3 linked regions of the Arabidopsis thaliana genome follow. The protein of the gene in region 3 interacts with the protein of the main gene of each other region in a pairwise test. Each region holds a gene or a part of one and is shown on either strand. Other genes may lie near its edges.

Region 1 (6,465 bases), on a different chromosome or scaffold from region 3:
ACCCCTGCGCAGCACAGCACAAGCTTCTCAACGTTCTCCGGAAACTGCGCCGCTAAACTATACCCAACGAATCCACCGTAACTAATCCCGACGATGTTCATCCTCTGGACTCCGTGCGCTTCCATTAACCTCATCAGACACCGAGCCTGGAAAGATTCGGTTCGGTTTGGTTCCGATGTGGATGATAACCCGAAGAAGAGGAGATCGGGAACGTAGACGTTGAATCGGCCGGTGAAAGCTCGGAGATGTTCTCCGTATTGCCACATTGCGTTGGCGCCGAATCCGTGGAGGAGGAGGAGATTAGGTTTAGATCGATTCGGGGATTTAGGAATCCAACAATGCATAGCTGTTGATGCGATTGAATTGCCGTGGGAGAGATCTGTCGTTACGGAACGTAGACCGGCGTTTGCGAATGATTGCCGGAATAACCAATCTCGCGACGCCGTGAAGCTGAAGCATCGCAGCAGTTTCATATGATCAAACATTTTTGATTCGAATAATTCAAAAATGAAACAGAGGAGAAGATACGGAGGCGTGACGATGACGAAGAGGAAAAAAACAAACAACGAATTCAGTTATTTGTCGAGAAATTGATTGTAAACGTGTCATTTATGGGTCCCTCCGTGTAATTTAAGGAATTACAGTATTGGACTTGGGGGAAATTGTAATTTACGTAAAAGACCGTTAAGAAAACAAAGAAGCTAAAAGGACCCCATAAAACTTTTCAGATCAAGTAATTAGAGGTAGAAGTTTTCATCCCAATCTGTACACATGTCACAAAACCACTAAATTATTAGTCTGTTGAAACCGGAGCAAAACCTTTCCTTTTTAGGGTTTTAGATAAGTGAAAAGATAGATTGGTGAACAAGAGAAATCGAGTAATAATCCTTTTTAACTCATATGTGTTTTCGGAGTCTCTTCTCAGCAACCTTTGCCGTCTTGTTCTGTGGTTCAAGGACCAATGCGTGCCTGAAATCTGCAGAGATGATCAACCATAATGTTACGCTCCAATACCCTACTAGAGAGAGTAACTCATCTGGATAGCTAGATGAATTTTATCTTTTAACAAGTTTCTCCAATGTGATAAAATTACAATCTCAGAGTAGTTTAATCATCATACCTGCAGCAGCTTCCTTGTACCGTACAAGTGATTCTCTAGCAGTCCCTCGTCTCAAATATGCCTTCACATTCTGTAGAAACAAATAACTATTATAAGAATCAAAGCTTCCAAATAATGCGTCATTGTGTCTATAGTGAGTGATCTGAGTGATAATGAAACTAGATAGTCATAGTACAAAGGTATTACGCCGCAAATCAAATAAATAAAAAGTGAATAGTTTTGTTCCAGCTCAAGTGTACTTAAACACAAAACCATGTTAAAAACACAATGTAACAAAACAAACTACGAGGGATGGAGAAATAAGGCAGCTAATCAAGTTTTCACCTTCTTATCGATCAACATGGCCTTGGTACAATCTTGTTCGGCTTGTTGGAAGCTATAAACAAACTCTCAGATCAGAAAATCATAATAAATTATATTCAGATCAGAATGAAAGATATGAAGAGAACAATTACCAGCAAAGTTCCAAGAAAGCTGCAGCTCTATTGCAATAATAAGTAGCATTTGCTCCATTCAATTTTATAGCTTCTGTATAAAAGTTTACCGCCTTATTCCATTGTTTCCCCTTGTATGCAGCATTGCCCTGGAATTACATTTTATCCACTGTTAACTTTGAGAACATTCCAACTCCAGTAGCATATCATGGATCAGAACCAAATATACTATTTGTCAAACTCAAAGAGATAGTTTTACCTTTTCTTTCATAACTTCAGAAGCCTCCATGTTACCATTGGTGTCAGACACTGGAGCTAAGTTGGATGCAAGTTTGGCTTGGTCTTGAAGGGATGCATATACATCGAGAGTTGTATCGAGAAGGAACTTATCACCTCCATAGTAAGTAAGAAGCGACACGGATATTGGACGATCACCATGTTCCCCTAAAGGAATTGTAACCTGAAGAATATGTATATATTTGTGTCATGACTAAAGACTGAAGAGTAAGGAAAAGGCAACAAGAATGTTCCCCAACCATTGAATGAGAAAGAGGAGATGGAAATATACCTGACAACATCCAGACATGCTTGCAATGCAGGAGAGTGCATAAGTACGATCAAGAAACTCATTCAAAGATTTATTTCTCTTTGTGTTAAGCCTTGGAGGGGGATCAGCAACTGTGGGGATTACCAGAATTCCATCTTCCTAGTAATAAGATACCGATCTATGGTTAATCATAATACCATAGAACTAAAAAGAAGCCGCAAAAATGAAAGTTAATAATTCAATCTCTTCAGACTTCAGTGTTTTGGTGGCAAAATGTCCTCAAGACACTAATGGCTGTGAAAATTTTAAATTTCCAAAAATCGAGTTTACCTTTAAAAGGCTTTGAATGGTGGCCCGCATCTCATTTTTCACTCTGTAGAGGGATTTAATGCTCTCGTTTTTGCTCTTCAGAGCTGTAACAACATCATTGGAAAATCTTGGCCCTAGAAACGATTTGCATGTTTGCCACCATTCTTCATGATTTGTTTTGAACTCATGCCTGGTAAAAAGAAAATCCTTTCTTCTTCGATATTTGCATATAATACAACTTAAGAAGAAAATAGTAACCTCCAGCAAAGAGGGAATAACAACAATCTTTTATTGCACCCGTTTAAAAGGAACGAGAGAGAGAAAAAAGTATTGATGCAGTGAAAATTTCAAGAAGTGTGAGCTTCTTAAATACCTTTGTATAGCCAACATCACAGATGAAAGAGCCCTTAAAGTTGATGCTGAATTTTGGGATTTCCCAGATTGCTCACAGAATTCCGCAAGACTTGGTACATTTGAAGCGACATATTGGCCAACGTTAACATGTTTTGGAGTCTTGTCTGCATGAGCCAGTGGTCAAGAGACATAAGATATGAATCTGGAGAAGGGCAAAGAGAAGGAAACAATACAGCTGCAAACTTACAGCCAGATAGATTCTCGATTGCCTTTCTGACAACTTGCACCGACTTTTGCTTAGGAATGTCAGAGAGCTCGAATAAATCATCAGCAAAGATTAAAGATCTTTGCCTTCTATGTGTTACTGCACTCAGATTTAGTAAGGCATGTCCAACTTGACACAAAACGGATGGATCAGAGGCAAACCATCCTACAGAACGAATCAATGAGTTCAATAATCAGGAAGGCAAACACCTAGAGTAGCATGTACCATTGAAACTACACTAAAAACACTAAAAGGGAGGGGAATGTAACGTACCAACAGTCTCTAGGCTCTGAGAATTGGGCAAAACTCCAACTGAAGAAACAGTCCCCTGAGATGGTCGAAAACCAAGAATACCACAAAAGGCTGCTGGGACTCTAACACCACCAGTGGTATCAATCCCTGCAAATCAAGCATCTTTTGATTAGCATAAAGAACCAAACGTAATCCAAGAAACACATTACCAAGAGAAAACGAAGAGATTAACAATACCAAGTGAAAAGTCAACGAGTTCAGCCCCAACAGAAACTGCTGAGCCACTGGAACATCCTCCAGGAACATTATCTGGCATCAATGGATTAATAGGAGTTCCATAGTGCTTGTTTTCTCCAATAATCCTGTAAAATCACATTCAAAACACAAACTTTCTTCAAACCAACTACCGAAAGGTCATTTCATATGCAGAATGGTAGGAGTGGAGAGATACCCAAAACCCAGCTCATCCATTATAGTCTTGCCAACACAAGTAGCTCCATTTTTCAAGAGCGTCGTGACAACCACAGCAGTTTTCTCAGCAGCCTCATGAGTCTTCTTCCATTGTGGACAACCAAATCCTGTGATATAATCCTTAACATCGAACCTGTCAAACCATTAACCCCGATATAACTTTATTCATTTCATTGCAACATGACTTCGTCTAAGCAAGTCAAAATCTCAATTAAACCAAACAAAAGTTTTGAACTTTATAAGCGAGATCATTATATAAAGCAGGAAAAAACAAATTTGAAAATAGGTTATGATTTTTAAGAGAGAGAGAGAGAGAGAGAGAGAGAGAGATACATACGCGTCGGAGATGGAGAAGGTAAGACCAGAGAGAGATTGTTTAGCAGCAGGAGGAGGAGGCGGAGGGAAAGGAAGAAGCTCGAAACGATCTAAGAAAGCACCAAAGTCTTCTTCTCTAAGGGCTCTAATCCGCCGCTTCCGGGTCTCCGCCAGAATCACGATCCCGGCCACCGTCACGCCGATCACTACCCAAACTTTGGGATTCGAGGCATTGCTTTGAATCAAAGAAAGCGTATTCGACATAACGCGATCTCACGAGAAAGAGAGAGAGAGAGAGAGAGAGACAAGGGTTTTAGGAGGGTTTAAGAGAGAAAAGGGGAAAGAAAAATAGGAGAGAGATTTGGAAGAAGCAAACACAGATGCTATCGTGCGCACTGTGTCTAAACCCTTTTAATTACGAGTGATGACTTGGCCAGCCGTGAACTCAAGTCCGTCTGCCCAAGGCGAATCTTCTCTTTTTGATTGATTAATAATTGTCTTTACGAAATCGATAAAGAAATTAAAAAAAAAAATTAAATTAAGAAAAATGGAAATTTTAATTTTAATTCCTTTATTTATTAGAATTACTCGTTTCAATTTTTTTTAATAAGCTTGTACAAATTGATTTAGGTTTATAATTTCTTTTGTTGGCCATTTCTTCTCTTAATGAACTTTTCCACTCGTGGAAAAATAGATTTTAAGCTAGTCAAGCCACTAAAAACCTCAATATAATAATGAAAAAATTAAAATATATACTGCTATAATTTATTGTTAAGTTTCCATTTTCTGTAGCCTTGCCCGTCAATCCAATTTTATCTTCAGATTATAGGAAAATCCAAGTTAAGTTTTTTTTATAGCTTTAATGGTTTACCAATCCAAATTTGGTAGATAAAATGGCATGTCGACCCGGATTTATAACCTTTAAAAGTTAGCTCAATATCATACTACCATTCAAATTTAAACTATAACAATATGACTGATGTATGAGTTTGACCAAAACAAATATGATGTATAAATTGCAGAAAACAGCTAATAAAGAGAAGAATATTCAATACGGATACAAATATGAATCAGAGTAATCCAACACTTGGCTATATAATATTAGCAGAGAAAAGCCAAATGAACAAATAAAAAAGTTATATATTGTTAAGACGAAAGAAAATAGTGAATAATTCTATTTCAATCCAAGTAATAAATTAAGCGGTAAATATCAACTATGGTATTTACAGAGAAGAAATAAAGTTAGAAAGTAAAAGAAGGAAAAATGAATACGAGTCAGAAAGTAAAATCAAGGAGAAATAGACATCATCAATGTGTCATCGTTCAAAAGAGACTCAATGTCAATAAAATCGTCTTCTTCACAGTTGACTGCTTCTTCTTCTTTATTGTTTATAGATGCACTTGATGAAGCCTGCAACAACAATTTATCACAAGAATGCTCAACAAAATATGATTAACTGATTATGTTATGGGTCTTGGGTACCTCATTTTCACGGAAGCCCTCAACAACCGTTAGGAGTCTACGGTATTGATCCCGTGCTTCTGGGTATTGAACCATCGACTTAACACGAGTCAGAGCCTTCTGTAGCCTTTCCTCTGTTTGTTTTCTTCCCTCTTTAAGATAATCATACTCATCTTCCTGTGGGATCCTAGGACATATAGCTGATACAGGCGGTTCCGGTTCCACGGTTTTGGCGACTGCATTGCGTTTAAACCCTCTCAAACCATTACCTTTGCGTCTCCAACGCAAAATGATTTTCTCGAGTAATCCCACAGACCAGATGACTGTTCGGTATTGTTTCCGGACCTGATGTCCTCTCACATGAGCCTAAAGGTAAATGTAATATGATTCCAGCAATGAGAAACCAGACAAAAGACTTATGCAAAGAAATAAGGGGGAGAAAAAAAAACTCAATGAAAGGCAAACCTGAATTTTAACGATTCTTTGTCGGATTAAAAGAAACTCTTTTCTCTTCTTCCAACCACGATATTTCTTCTGGATATGGGTAGCAGCACAACTAAGAGAGACATCACCCTGTCCTGGATTCTTAGTTTTAGAAGCTGCAAAAGAAACAGCTAACTGGTCGGAGATATCAATCTTTTCATCATCGCCAATATCACACAGCTGTTTCCGTTGGAATGATTGCATCCTGAATACTTGATGGAGACGATCAGCCGCTTGCGTAGCATTACGGACAGCAGTAAGTGAATCCTTCAAGGAAAGTTTCTCTGGTACATCGCCATAGGTCATAGGAGCAGCGGTTCGCTCAGAGACTGTTTGAACAGCTTTTTCTCCACAAGAGTTGGCAGGGCTATTTTCCTTTGAGTCCACTGTTAGCTTTTCAAGATAACTAGTTAAGGAAGACTCTGCAAGAAATCCCGAAATTCCCCTGTGTCC
Region 2 (4,700 bases), on a different chromosome or scaffold from region 3:
AGGCTATTAACTCTCAAAGATTAGCTCAATCTGCTTTGAATCTTGAAGCTCAGCTTCGAAACTGGAGAACCTGTTTTGAATTCTGGATCACCTCTCAGAGATCCTACATGAAAGCATTATCTGGTTGGCTTCTAAGATGTTTCAGATGTGATCCTGACCCCGAAAAAGTTAGATTATCCTCATGTCTTCACCCGATATACCGAGTCTGCATTCAATGGTCAAGGTTGCTTAACAGCTTGAATGAAAAACCAGTTTTGGACAAACTTGAGTTCTTTGCCTCAGGGATGGGTTCAATATATGCAAGGCAAGTTAGGGAAGATCCAAACTGGAGTGGAAGCGGGTCAAGGAGATACTCCGGGTCAGAAAGCATGGAGCTTGTAGTGGCTGATAAGGGAGAAGAAGATGTTGTGATGACTGCTGAGAAACTTGCAGAGGTTGCTGTGAAGGTTCTCTGCCATGGAATGTCTGTTGCAGTTAGTTCACTAGCTGAGTTTTCCATCAACTCGGCCGATGAACACTCGAAGCTTGTTAGCCAACCAGCAGACGATGCGTCGGAGCAGCAGCCCCCGGATGTAAATTTCAATTCCTAGTACTTGTTATTAATTTTGTTTGGTTTTAGAGAGTTTAGAATTAGGTAGGTTTTTGGCATCATCTTTTGCTATCAGAAGATAGTTTCTTAGATGGATGAGATTTGTATTATTTAGTAAGACAAATAGAGTTAGTTCAGTTGATTCTGAGGATGTGTACCAAGAGTCTTCTAATGTTCCTCGGTATTTTATCCGGTGAATCGGTTCCCATGATGTGCCTTAAAAACCAATGAAATTTATATAAAAGCCAAAAGCTCTCCTTCAGAACGAAAAGTCGAAAACCATTATAATGTGACTAAATCTCACATCTGTATCCTCTCCATAACTAAGAGTTCAAGAAGAAAAAAGCGTAGAGATTACTGGTTATGTTTTTATCTTAGTCTCAGAGAGTTCGCCTGAGAGTTACCGGTCCATTTAATAAGAAAAGCTTTAGTTTAGTCATCTTCATCTTCATACTCCAGTTCATCAGAACTACCTCCTCCCATCACTGATACGTAAATGACGACAGCTAGAAACTGAGCAGCTAGAAAGAACCTTGCTCTTTTCTTAAATTTTTTCTCCTCTTCGGTCTTTTCTACCTTTGGTTTGCTCTTTGGCTTCGAACCTGAACAAAAGATGAAATTCACTTCCTTCACAGGCTTAAACATATCCAATGAATGTTGCATATATGACAGATATATAATATGATGAAATATATATGATATGGACGTTGAAGGTTAGATGTGTCTTACTCTTTCTTGGAAATGAGGAAGGGAATGAGTGAAGTGGAGGTGAAGGAGATGAAGAAGAGGCTTCAAGGAACTCTGACTTAAGTTTCTCAGCATATCGCACAAGATTACTATGTTCCAGAAGTTTGCACCGAAGCACTGATGTAACCTGATCATGCACCATTAAGAAAACTACTTCATCTAAATAGTTCTAAGGCTAAATTCAACCTGATAAACCCATAACTGAGAAATATATTGGTGAAATTTAAAGCTGCTCACTGGTAACGCTTGGATTATAAAAAGTATGTGCGAGAGTAAGAAAGCATCCAAACTCGATGGCCTGTGGGAAGAGAATAATATAAACATTGTCAATCTTTTACAAAAAGGCTTAAGGGAAAGAATCCAGTTCCGGAATGTGATTGCAATACCTGTCTTCAAAGAGAAACTTCTGCTCACCTAACCTAGTCGACAAAGCTTCATATGCCTCACTTGCTCTCTTGTATATCTGTTCACATTTAAGACTATGAACTTTAATAACTAGTTCAAATGCTCACAAATATAAACCACAGGTCTTCTAAAGTAACAACAAAACTTAAACAAACCCGACCTGTTTTTCTCTTTGCTCTGCGTTCTCTTTGGTGATTCCTAAACGGTTCTTTGCCAAGTATGTCTGCTTATAAAACAGGACCTTGCTGATCACCCAAGGAAGATCTGAATAGTAGATTTTCGATGTAGATATCCCCTCGGTACCAACCCATATCTCATAGGTAAGCGCTTCTTCTAGCCAAGACACAATAAGAGCCTTCAAAGATAAATAATCCGAAAGAGACTGTAGCTGAGAGTCCAGATTAACAATCCCATCTTTCTTCAGTTTTTCAATTACTCCTCCATCTTCATTGTTATATGCAACATATGTATCACTTTCAAAGTACGGCAGTTCATCTATATTAAAAACAAATGATTAACATTGTCAATACACAAGCTTATAAATATTGAATGCACAAATTTGTAAATCCGTGAACAAAGGATTACGAAGTGTCTAGAGATATTATCAAACATAACATAGAAATTCTGAAGATATTGTTAATATACAAACTCAATAGCTAAATCAAACAACTAATTTCTTCTGAACAAGTATGAAACATCATCATTCTCTTCGAATTAACAATTACGATAACGAGGAATTCAACCAAAGCTATAACAAGAAATTATGATGAACACTTCCTATCCAGAAAAATTCACCAATGCATATATACACCTCAAAATTGAATTACTATTGCCTAAAAACCCTATCTAAACTCTGATTAACCTAAGAGCAGGATCTTAATAGTACGAATTCGAATCCAGAACTCAAAATTATCTTGTCTAGGATTCGAATCTCAATTCAAGCTAATAGAATTAACAATGTTCACTTCCAACAGATACACATCACGCAACCAAAACCTTAATCTAACAACAACCAAAATACGAAGCGAGGAATCAAAACAGAAGCAAACCTGAATCAGGGAAGGTTGAATTGAACGCAAGTTCAAAAGGTAGCTGGGCTAATTTCAGGTATATATAAGCAGGAAGACAATTAGGGCAAGCTGTTGGGAGATCGAAGGAAGGCTTCCTTGCCACCAAAGTATAAACATTCGTCTCTTGATCGCCTTCCATTATAGTGACTCGTATGTGTGAGAGCTCTGGTCAAAAGAAGAAGAAGTACTCAAGTAAGTTCGATCGTCGATAGAGAGAGATGGGGCGAGAAGAGAAGATCCAGTCGAGTCCGGGTCTGGGTTAAGGTTTAGTCGGTCGGGTTTAAAACTAGGGTTTATTAATACGATAACTCATTTTGGGCTTTAAAAGGCCCACAAATTACCCATTAAGACAAAACTACTGGAGGAGGAGACTCGGAGAAAGTGGAATTGTTTTCTCCTTTTTGTTAGTTTGTAAAAACTAAAATTACTGTGTAACAGTGTAAAATACATCATCCACATTTTTTTTCTTCAAGATGACTTTATAAAAATAAACTCAACTTAAATTCAGAAGATATAATCAAAACTGGCGATGTGGGCTTTTGAATTTAATGCTATGAAGTTAGTATTTTGGATTTACCATTTCTTTTTAGAGTTTATGATATATACTTAAGGATTTAGTTTAGAATTTATACTTTGGAATATACTTGCATAAAAAAGTATAACACATTCCCTAATAGTGATATGAATTTTATGTTATATGTTCTTACCTCGTTTTTTTTCATTTTTTCGTGGAAATATATATTCATCCACAATGTGAACAAAATAGAGAAGAAGGGTAATACGCGTGATCATATACAACCAACAAAACTAAACCTTATTCTCACTTCCACTAATTAAGCTGCTTCGAAGGAAACAAACTAAACCACGAGAAAAACATTTTTGAATTTTGACTAACAGCAAGAAAAATTCGTTGAATCCATATGATTCTGTGTACTATATAAACATTACTTTAGCACGAACTTCAAAAAGAGAAGAGAAAAAGAAAGGGGGTTTGTGTTATGGCTCCCATAACTTTTAGAAAATCTTACACTATAGTACCGGCCGAACCAACGTGGAGCGGTAGGTTTCCCTTAGCCGAGTGGGATCAAGTTGGTACAATTACTCACATTCCCACCCTTTACTTTTACGACAAGCCATCTGAATCTTTCCAAGGCAATGTAGTCGAAATCCTAAAAACCTCGTTGAGCCGTGTGCTAGTCCATTTTTACCCTATGGCTGGCCGTCTCAGATGGCTCCCTCGGGGACGGTTCGAGCTCAATTGTAACGCCGAGGGAGTGGAATTCATTGAAGCGGAATCTGAGGGGAAGCTTTCGGATTTCAAAGACTTCTCTCCTACGCCGGAATTCGAGAATCTTATGCCGCAAGTAAACTATAAAAACCCTATCGAAACGATTCCTCTATTTTTAGCTCAGGTAACCAAATTCAAATGCGGTGGAATAAGCCTTAGCGTCAACGTTTCCCACGCGATCGTAGATGGCCAAAGCGCGCTTCACTTAATATCGGAATGGGGAAGACTCGCGCGCGGTGAACCGTTAGAAACCGTTCCATTTCTAGACCGGAAAATCCTCTGGGCTGGTGAACCGCTCCCACCGTTTGTGTCGCCCCCAAAGTTCGACCACAAAGAGTTTGATCAGCCACCGTTTTTGATCGGAGAAACGGACAATGTAGAAGAGAGAAAGAAGAAAACGATTGTGGTGATGCTACCACTGAGCACATCTCAGCTGCAGAAGCTACGAAGTAAAGCCAACGGAAGCAAACACTCTGACCCGGCGAAAGGGTTTACAAGGTACGAGACCGTCACCGGACACGTGTGGAGGTGCGCGTGTAAAGCACGTGGCCACTCTCCGGAGCAACCAACGGCTCTAGGAATCTGTATAGATACTCGTAGT
Region 3 (5,887 bases):
AGAGCGTGAGGTCTAGCTTGGTGAATGACAGTTTTGTCCTTGGTTTTGGAATAGATCACGTCACGTGGTCTTTTTTTTGTAGACGTTGGGATCCACTGTACTTAACCTGTGCTGAAAATAGTTGACTAATATTAGTACTATTTTGTAAGGAAAAGATTCTTCCTAAAAACAATTAGTAGTAAATTAGTTACTAGTTAAAGAGTTATTAAAGCAAATTACACTACAAAATAATAATAAGAATCTGGAAATCGTGTCGCGATAAGCCAATAAATATAATTATGACATATTTGCTTTATCATAGTTGGAAATCTCTTGGATATATCTTTTTTAAAAAAATTCTTTCTTCTATCTATTTTTGAAAAATTTAATGGCCATTCAAAGTTTTAGAGATATTGTTACTTATAATAGTGATTTTTAGTTATATAAGTATATTAATTATAATACTTAATGTATATATTTCCTTTTTGTTATTAATCAAAACGTATCTCTTTAAAAAGTATATATTTGTTTATGAATTTTTTAGTCAACTATTAGTTTTTAACTTTTCAAAAATCAAATCAATTTTAAACAGTAATAATGTACAGTCGAACCATAAATATGATTATGGTAGGAGACTCTGAAATCTGAATATGATAATGACTCAAGGATTTGGTGATCGTGTTGAATTTCTTGTCAAAACTCAAAACCTCATTTGATTCGCAACGATGCTGATATGAGGTCTCCCGTGGTGACTTCAAAGAGACAAGTTCAACACAATAGAAAACAAAAATACTACAAATCCAAATAAAACTCGAAACTGTTATATCTATACAGCCTTCATTATGATGTCACAAGAACTGAAAGCTTCAGTTTTAGAGCTCTTTCGGAATAGTTACAACCTCTCTCTCTCGAGGAATTTGGTCGTGTGTCAAACGATCAAAAGTATTGCAGGACAGCGATCATATCTTCACACGACATTATGAAAAAATATTCTCTGCCAAAAGAAAAGCTTCTTCTTCACAGACACAATGTTCTCCTGCAAACATGCAAGTCAAATATCAAACACCGTTATGGAGGAGAATTCTAGTCTACCCTATTTTTCCGGGGTGGGCAGAAACAAAGCTTTGGCCCTAATTGACATCTTACTTAAGCATGGTATGAGCTAATGCATTGCATGTCTTTTCTAATTTTAGGAATTAGGACCAATACTTCGGAAACTGGTGAATGAATACCTTATCAGGGGGCTCCAATGCCGTAAATACAATCTTTTTTGCAACCTTCTCTACACCCCAGCAGCTGTTTTAGCTTCAGGACTTGCCTTTCCCTGAAATGAAATTGGACATACACATCTCACTCAGTTCCAATCATTTTCCCATGTTGCAAAACCACGAGAAATAACTAGATGGATAAGTTTTGACTGTTCACAAACAAACCTCAGAGGAGTCTTTGCGGAATTTCCTGGTTGGAGCCCTCATAGTGACAAACTCCTCAGCTGCTGTGGGGTGAACACCCACTGTAGCATCAAAGTCGGCCTTAGTTAAACCAGCTTTAACTGCAACCCCAAATCCCTGAAAAATTGTAAAATAAAATTCATATTCAATCATATATGTTTTCCGTGATTACTTTTCAGAGAATACCAATCATGTTAAAAAATGAAACCTGGATGATTTCTGGTGAATCTTCTCCACACATGTGAACACCGAGAACTTTATTGGTGTTTGCACAGACAATGAGTTTCATAAATACTCGGTCTGGAAGTCCTGAAAGGGTAGCCTTTAATGGCCTAAAGTTCGATGTGTAAACATCCACATCACCATATTGTTCTATGGCCTGCAAACACGTAGTTAATATTTCTATGTAGTGGCATGCATGATAAACCATATTTTTGACAAATCATCCTACTTACCTGCTCTTCAGTTAGACCAACTGTTCCAATAGGTGGCTGGGAGAAAACGGCGCAGGGAACAGCTCTAGTTGATTATAGAACACAGAAAGGATAAAAGCCATCAGAGACAACAGTTATAAAATGTTATAGATCACTGATGCAGCATGTAAGACTAAACAGAGAAAAACTCTCATCAATCACCAAAAAATCCCAAAGGTTTAAACATCAAAAGTTAAGATTGTTATGTTACCTATAATCAGGCTTTGTTGGCTCATTTTGAAACAAAGTTTTAGCCAATGCACCTCCCTCCATCAAAGCAACTGGAGTCAAATTGATTCGGTCAGTAACATCCCCAACAGCCCAGATGGATGGAACAGATGTCTGTGAATATTCGTCAACCTTACAAAAAAAAAGTGGAAACATGGAGCACAATCACAAGAAGTAACCAGGTATAACAAGAGAACTGTGCACAATGCAATAATAGAAATCCTAAGTGACAAAAAAACTAGGTAAAACACTGGATCATACCTCTATTGCTCCATTTTTCGCCATTTTAACGCCAACATTCTCCAACCCTAAGTTCTGTTATAACAGCCAACATTACATCAATGAACAATCATATTCCATTAAAGTCATAAACAAGGGGCAGCAGTGGTCAGTTTATCTTAGACAAATTATTAAAGGATGAACTTTGCTACCAGTTTTCATTTTATAAACATCCTTTGGAAAATAATAAAAATCACACTATACCTTTGTGTTGGGCTTGCGACCAGTTGCAAACATAACATGCGAAAATCCCTCAACAGTTCCCTTGCTGGTCTTCAGAGAGAACGAGCCATCTCCAGCTTTGATGATGGCTTCAGGGGATTCTTCAGTGTGAAACTCAATACCTCTTAAAGACATCTGCTCTCCAACGAAATCCCTGACCTGAAACAAGAATAACAATTACAATTAGAAAATATCCAGACGGATAAATGAAAGCAGCAAAAGTCATTCTCAATTTTTTACTTACATCTTCATCAAATCCCCTCAGCACCTTCTTTTGCCTTATAAATACATGAACTTCACAGTTAAGACCATTGAAGATCCCCGCAAACTCCAGGGCTATGTAGCCACCACCAACTATTGCAATTTTCTTAGGCTTGGAAGGCAAATCAAGCGCGGCATCAGAATCAATAGCAAACTCTTTTCCTGGAATGTCAGGAATGAAAGGACGTCCACCAACTGCAATCAGAATATTCCTCGTAGTATAGATTTTCCCATCTACATCAACAGTGTGTGGGTCTATAACCTACACATATAAAATACATACTCAAGCTCAAATCAATACATAGAGGTTAACTCATGAACTATATAAACACCGAGCCTCGGCATACCTTTCCACGACCTTCAATCAACTTGACATTAGCTTTGCTCAGTATATTCTTATAAATACCAGTCAACCGCTGTAACTCAGCATTCTTGTTAGCAATCAAAGTAGTCCAATCATGAGAAGGCTCAGTCTCATACTTCCAACCAAATCCATGACTGTCTTCAAACTCATGACTGTATTTGGATGCATACACAAGTAACTTCTTTGGTACACATCCTCTCAATACACACCTGCAAAATAACCAAAAATGAGTAGACAACACAATCAAACCATAAATCATCAAGCAAATGCTTCAAATTCTGGTATAGCTACTACTAAAGTCAAATTCACTAGCTATCGATATAAGCCACAAGAAGGAAGAAATCTTACGTTCCTCCAACGCCTCCAGCAGTATCGGAAGAGATAGTGGAAAAAGGAAGCTCGCAAACGGCGGCGGATGCACCGAAGCTAGTGGCGAAGCGAGAGGCGCGGACGCCGCCGCTTCCGGCACCGATAGTGAAGAGATCAAAATCGTAGTGGCGGTCTGATTCAGCTCCATTATCGGTACTGGCACAAACAGAAAACCGGCGAGAGTGGTAATAGCGGTGGTTTGAGAGTAGGGCGATACGGGGACGGAGAGAATAGAGAGAGGTTAGGGTTTTAGGAAGCGAGAGAAAGCTAGAGGAAGAAGATGATGGTAGATGAATTGCGATTGGGAGTTTTTTGCAGAGGAATTGAAGAGATGGAGAAGATGATGAAATTGTACTGGTAAGCTTCGGGGTCGAAGCCATCTCCACGATTCTTCTTCTCTCTCTCTCTTTCTTTTTTTTTTCTTTTTTAGTTTGGGTGTGTGTATTTATGTAAAAGCTTTATTTCGATAATTCTACTTGTGGCATTTAGATTTATGACATGTCTTATTGTTTTTTAACAATTTATAAACATGTTTTTATGTGTGGTCGTAAAACGCTACCAAACTGACAATAACTCCACCTACGCCCGGTTTATGACACGAATACAAACTTCATCAAATCTAAATGATGACTTAGTAATACCATTTTGATGTAATCACTTATACATACAAGTGGAACCAAAATCTTTTAATTTGTACTATTAGTTTTATACTTCTACATCTTACCCTTTTTTATTATTTTTGTACGGTTTACTATTTTCTGTACCGTTAGAAAGTTATACGATTTGTGTTATCAACGTATGTACCTGTAAACTATAAAGGGAAAAATATCAATTAATCTCCTAACTTTCAAAAAATGGTCATTTTATACATCAATTTCGTATGCGGCTGTTTAAAACATGAATTAAATGTTGACTAACTTTTAAAACATGATTATTCGTTGATCATGCCAAAATAGACATGTCGTTATCAGTCATTAACGGAACTTCTAACGTCCGTTATCATCCGTTAACGACTTTATTAGTCAAGTTTTAAATTGTGGTCAATTTAAACATCGACTTTATATGTGGCAATTTTAAACATGAACTAAGCGTTGACTACCATTTAAAACATGAGAAATTCGTTGACCAAGCCAAAATAAACATGTTGTCATCATTCATTAAAAGAACTTATAACATTCATTATCACTTGTTAACGACTCTATTAGTATCCCTAAAACGACTTTGTTTTGAGAATAATCAAAAGAAAATCAGGATTGTTTTCTAAATGAAACCCCAGTTCCCCAAATCTATTTCTACAACCGCTCAAACAAGACGAACAATCTTATAATGAGTCTTCAATTTGCTTCCATGATTCAATTTCAAATTTAAAACAAATATATAAACGAAAATACCTTTATTTGCTTCCAATTACTGACACTGCGATTATCTCTTTATCAAACTATGTTCTTGGGTTCTACTTAAAACTTTTTGATATGGAGATTTCATATGGGAAAAATCTTTATGTTCTTTCGATTATTCTCAAACGACGTTGTTTTGGACAGATTAACAGTTATTAACGGGTTTCTAGGTTCTACTGATAAAGACATGTCTATTTTGGTCTGGTCAACGATATTTTTATGTCTTAAATGGTAGTCAACGTTTAGTTCATGTTTTAAATGGCCACATAAAAAGTTGATGTTTAAAATGGCCACAATTTAAAACTTGACTAATAAAGTTAACGGATGATAACGGACGTTAGAAATTCCGTTAATGACTGATAACGGCATGTCTATTTTGGCCTGGTCAACGAAAGATCATGTTTTAAAATTTAATCAACGTTTAGTTCATGTTTTAAACGGCCATATACGAAGTTGATGTATAAAATGGCTATTTTTTAAAAGTTGGAGGATTAAATGACATTTTTCCCAAACTATAAATTAGCAAGACTTTTTAACCACACTTTTGTGGAGCATCCACCACGACTTTTAAACTCCATGAATCGTTGTACAAAGACCATTTGGCTATGGAGAATCTTCATGGAAGAACCAGAAATAACTAGCTCAACTTCCCTTGATTCCTATAACTCATGGGATACCGACTTGAGTGATTAAACTAGAAAATCGTGAAAATAATGTAATTGGCTGCATAATAGTTTTTTTCACACTATTAAAAAAAAACTTGCAAGTTTATAGTTTGATCCGTGCATGGACGAGATTGGATGTCATTCGTGGTCTTTTTCCGGCTATATTTGACTACCTTCAAGTTTAAGCTACAAAATGATC

Evidence for each region.
Region 1: the proteins of GR (region 3) and TOC64-V interact in a two-hybrid assay, tested with the Arabidopsis thaliana proteins (one study listed by BioGRID).
Region 2: the proteins of GR (region 3) and AT2G19080 interact in a two-hybrid assay, tested with the Arabidopsis thaliana proteins (one study listed by BioGRID).

What each region holds. Positions count from the first base shown.
Region 1 is NC_003076.8:2,926,182-2,932,646, reverse strand, and holds TOC64-V (translocon at the outer membrane of chloroplasts 64-V), read right to left. Parts: upstream 4,475-6,465; 5' UTR 4,332-4,474; coding exon 4,090-4,331; intron 3,886-4,089; coding exon 3,733-3,885; intron 3,644-3,732; coding exon 3,519-3,643; intron 3,429-3,518; coding exon 3,303-3,428; intron 3,195-3,302; coding exon 3,012-3,194; intron 2,929-3,011; coding exon 2,784-2,928; intron 2,601-2,783; coding exon 2,432-2,600; intron 2,261-2,431; coding exon 2,123-2,260; intron 2,015-2,122; coding exon 1,814-2,014; intron 1,704-1,813; coding exon 1,576-1,703; intron 1,497-1,575; coding exon 1,445-1,496; intron 1,191-1,444; coding exon 1,121-1,190; intron 977-1,120; coding exon 897-976; 3' UTR 626-896; downstream 1-625. Other genes in the region: AT5G09430 (alpha/beta-Hydrolases superfamily protein), read right to left, coding at 1-485; EICBP.B (ethylene induced calmodulin binding protein), read right to left, coding at 5,356-5,478, 5,551-5,895, 5,995-6,465. UniProt on the Arabidopsis thaliana protein: Chaperone receptor mediating Hsp90-dependent protein targeting to mitochondria.
Region 2 is NC_003071.7:8,261,068-8,265,767, reverse strand, and holds AT2G19080 (metaxin-like protein), read right to left. Parts: upstream 3,069-4,700; 5' UTR 2,951-3,068; coding exon 2,791-2,950; intron 2,237-2,790; coding exon 1,902-2,236; intron 1,800-1,901; coding exon 1,723-1,799; intron 1,635-1,722; coding exon 1,574-1,634; coding exon of another isoform or gene 1,496-1,573; exon of another isoform or gene 1,464-1,495; coding exon 1,319-1,463; intron 1,192-1,318; coding exon 1,022-1,191; 3' UTR 630-1,021; downstream 1-629. Other genes in the region: AT2G19090 (DUF630 family protein (DUF630 and DUF632)), read left to right, coding at 1-590; SHT (spermidine hydroxycinnamoyl transferase), read left to right, coding at 3,810-4,700. UniProt on the Arabidopsis thaliana protein: Involved in transport of proteins into the mitochondrion.
Region 3 is NC_003074.8:20,229,095-20,234,981, forward strand, and holds GR (glutathione reductase), read right to left. Parts: upstream 4,118-5,887; 5' UTR 4,007-4,117; coding exon 3,606-4,006; intron 3,467-3,605; coding exon 3,241-3,466; intron 3,156-3,240; coding exon 2,877-3,155; intron 2,792-2,876; coding exon 2,615-2,791; intron 2,447-2,614; coding exon 2,393-2,446; intron 2,264-2,392; coding exon 2,115-2,263; intron 1,950-2,114; coding exon 1,886-1,949; intron 1,810-1,885; coding exon 1,639-1,809; intron 1,548-1,638; coding exon 1,413-1,547; intron 1,304-1,412; coding exon 1,262-1,303; 3' UTR 1,212-1,261; intron 1,016-1,211; 3' UTR 543-1,015; downstream 1-542.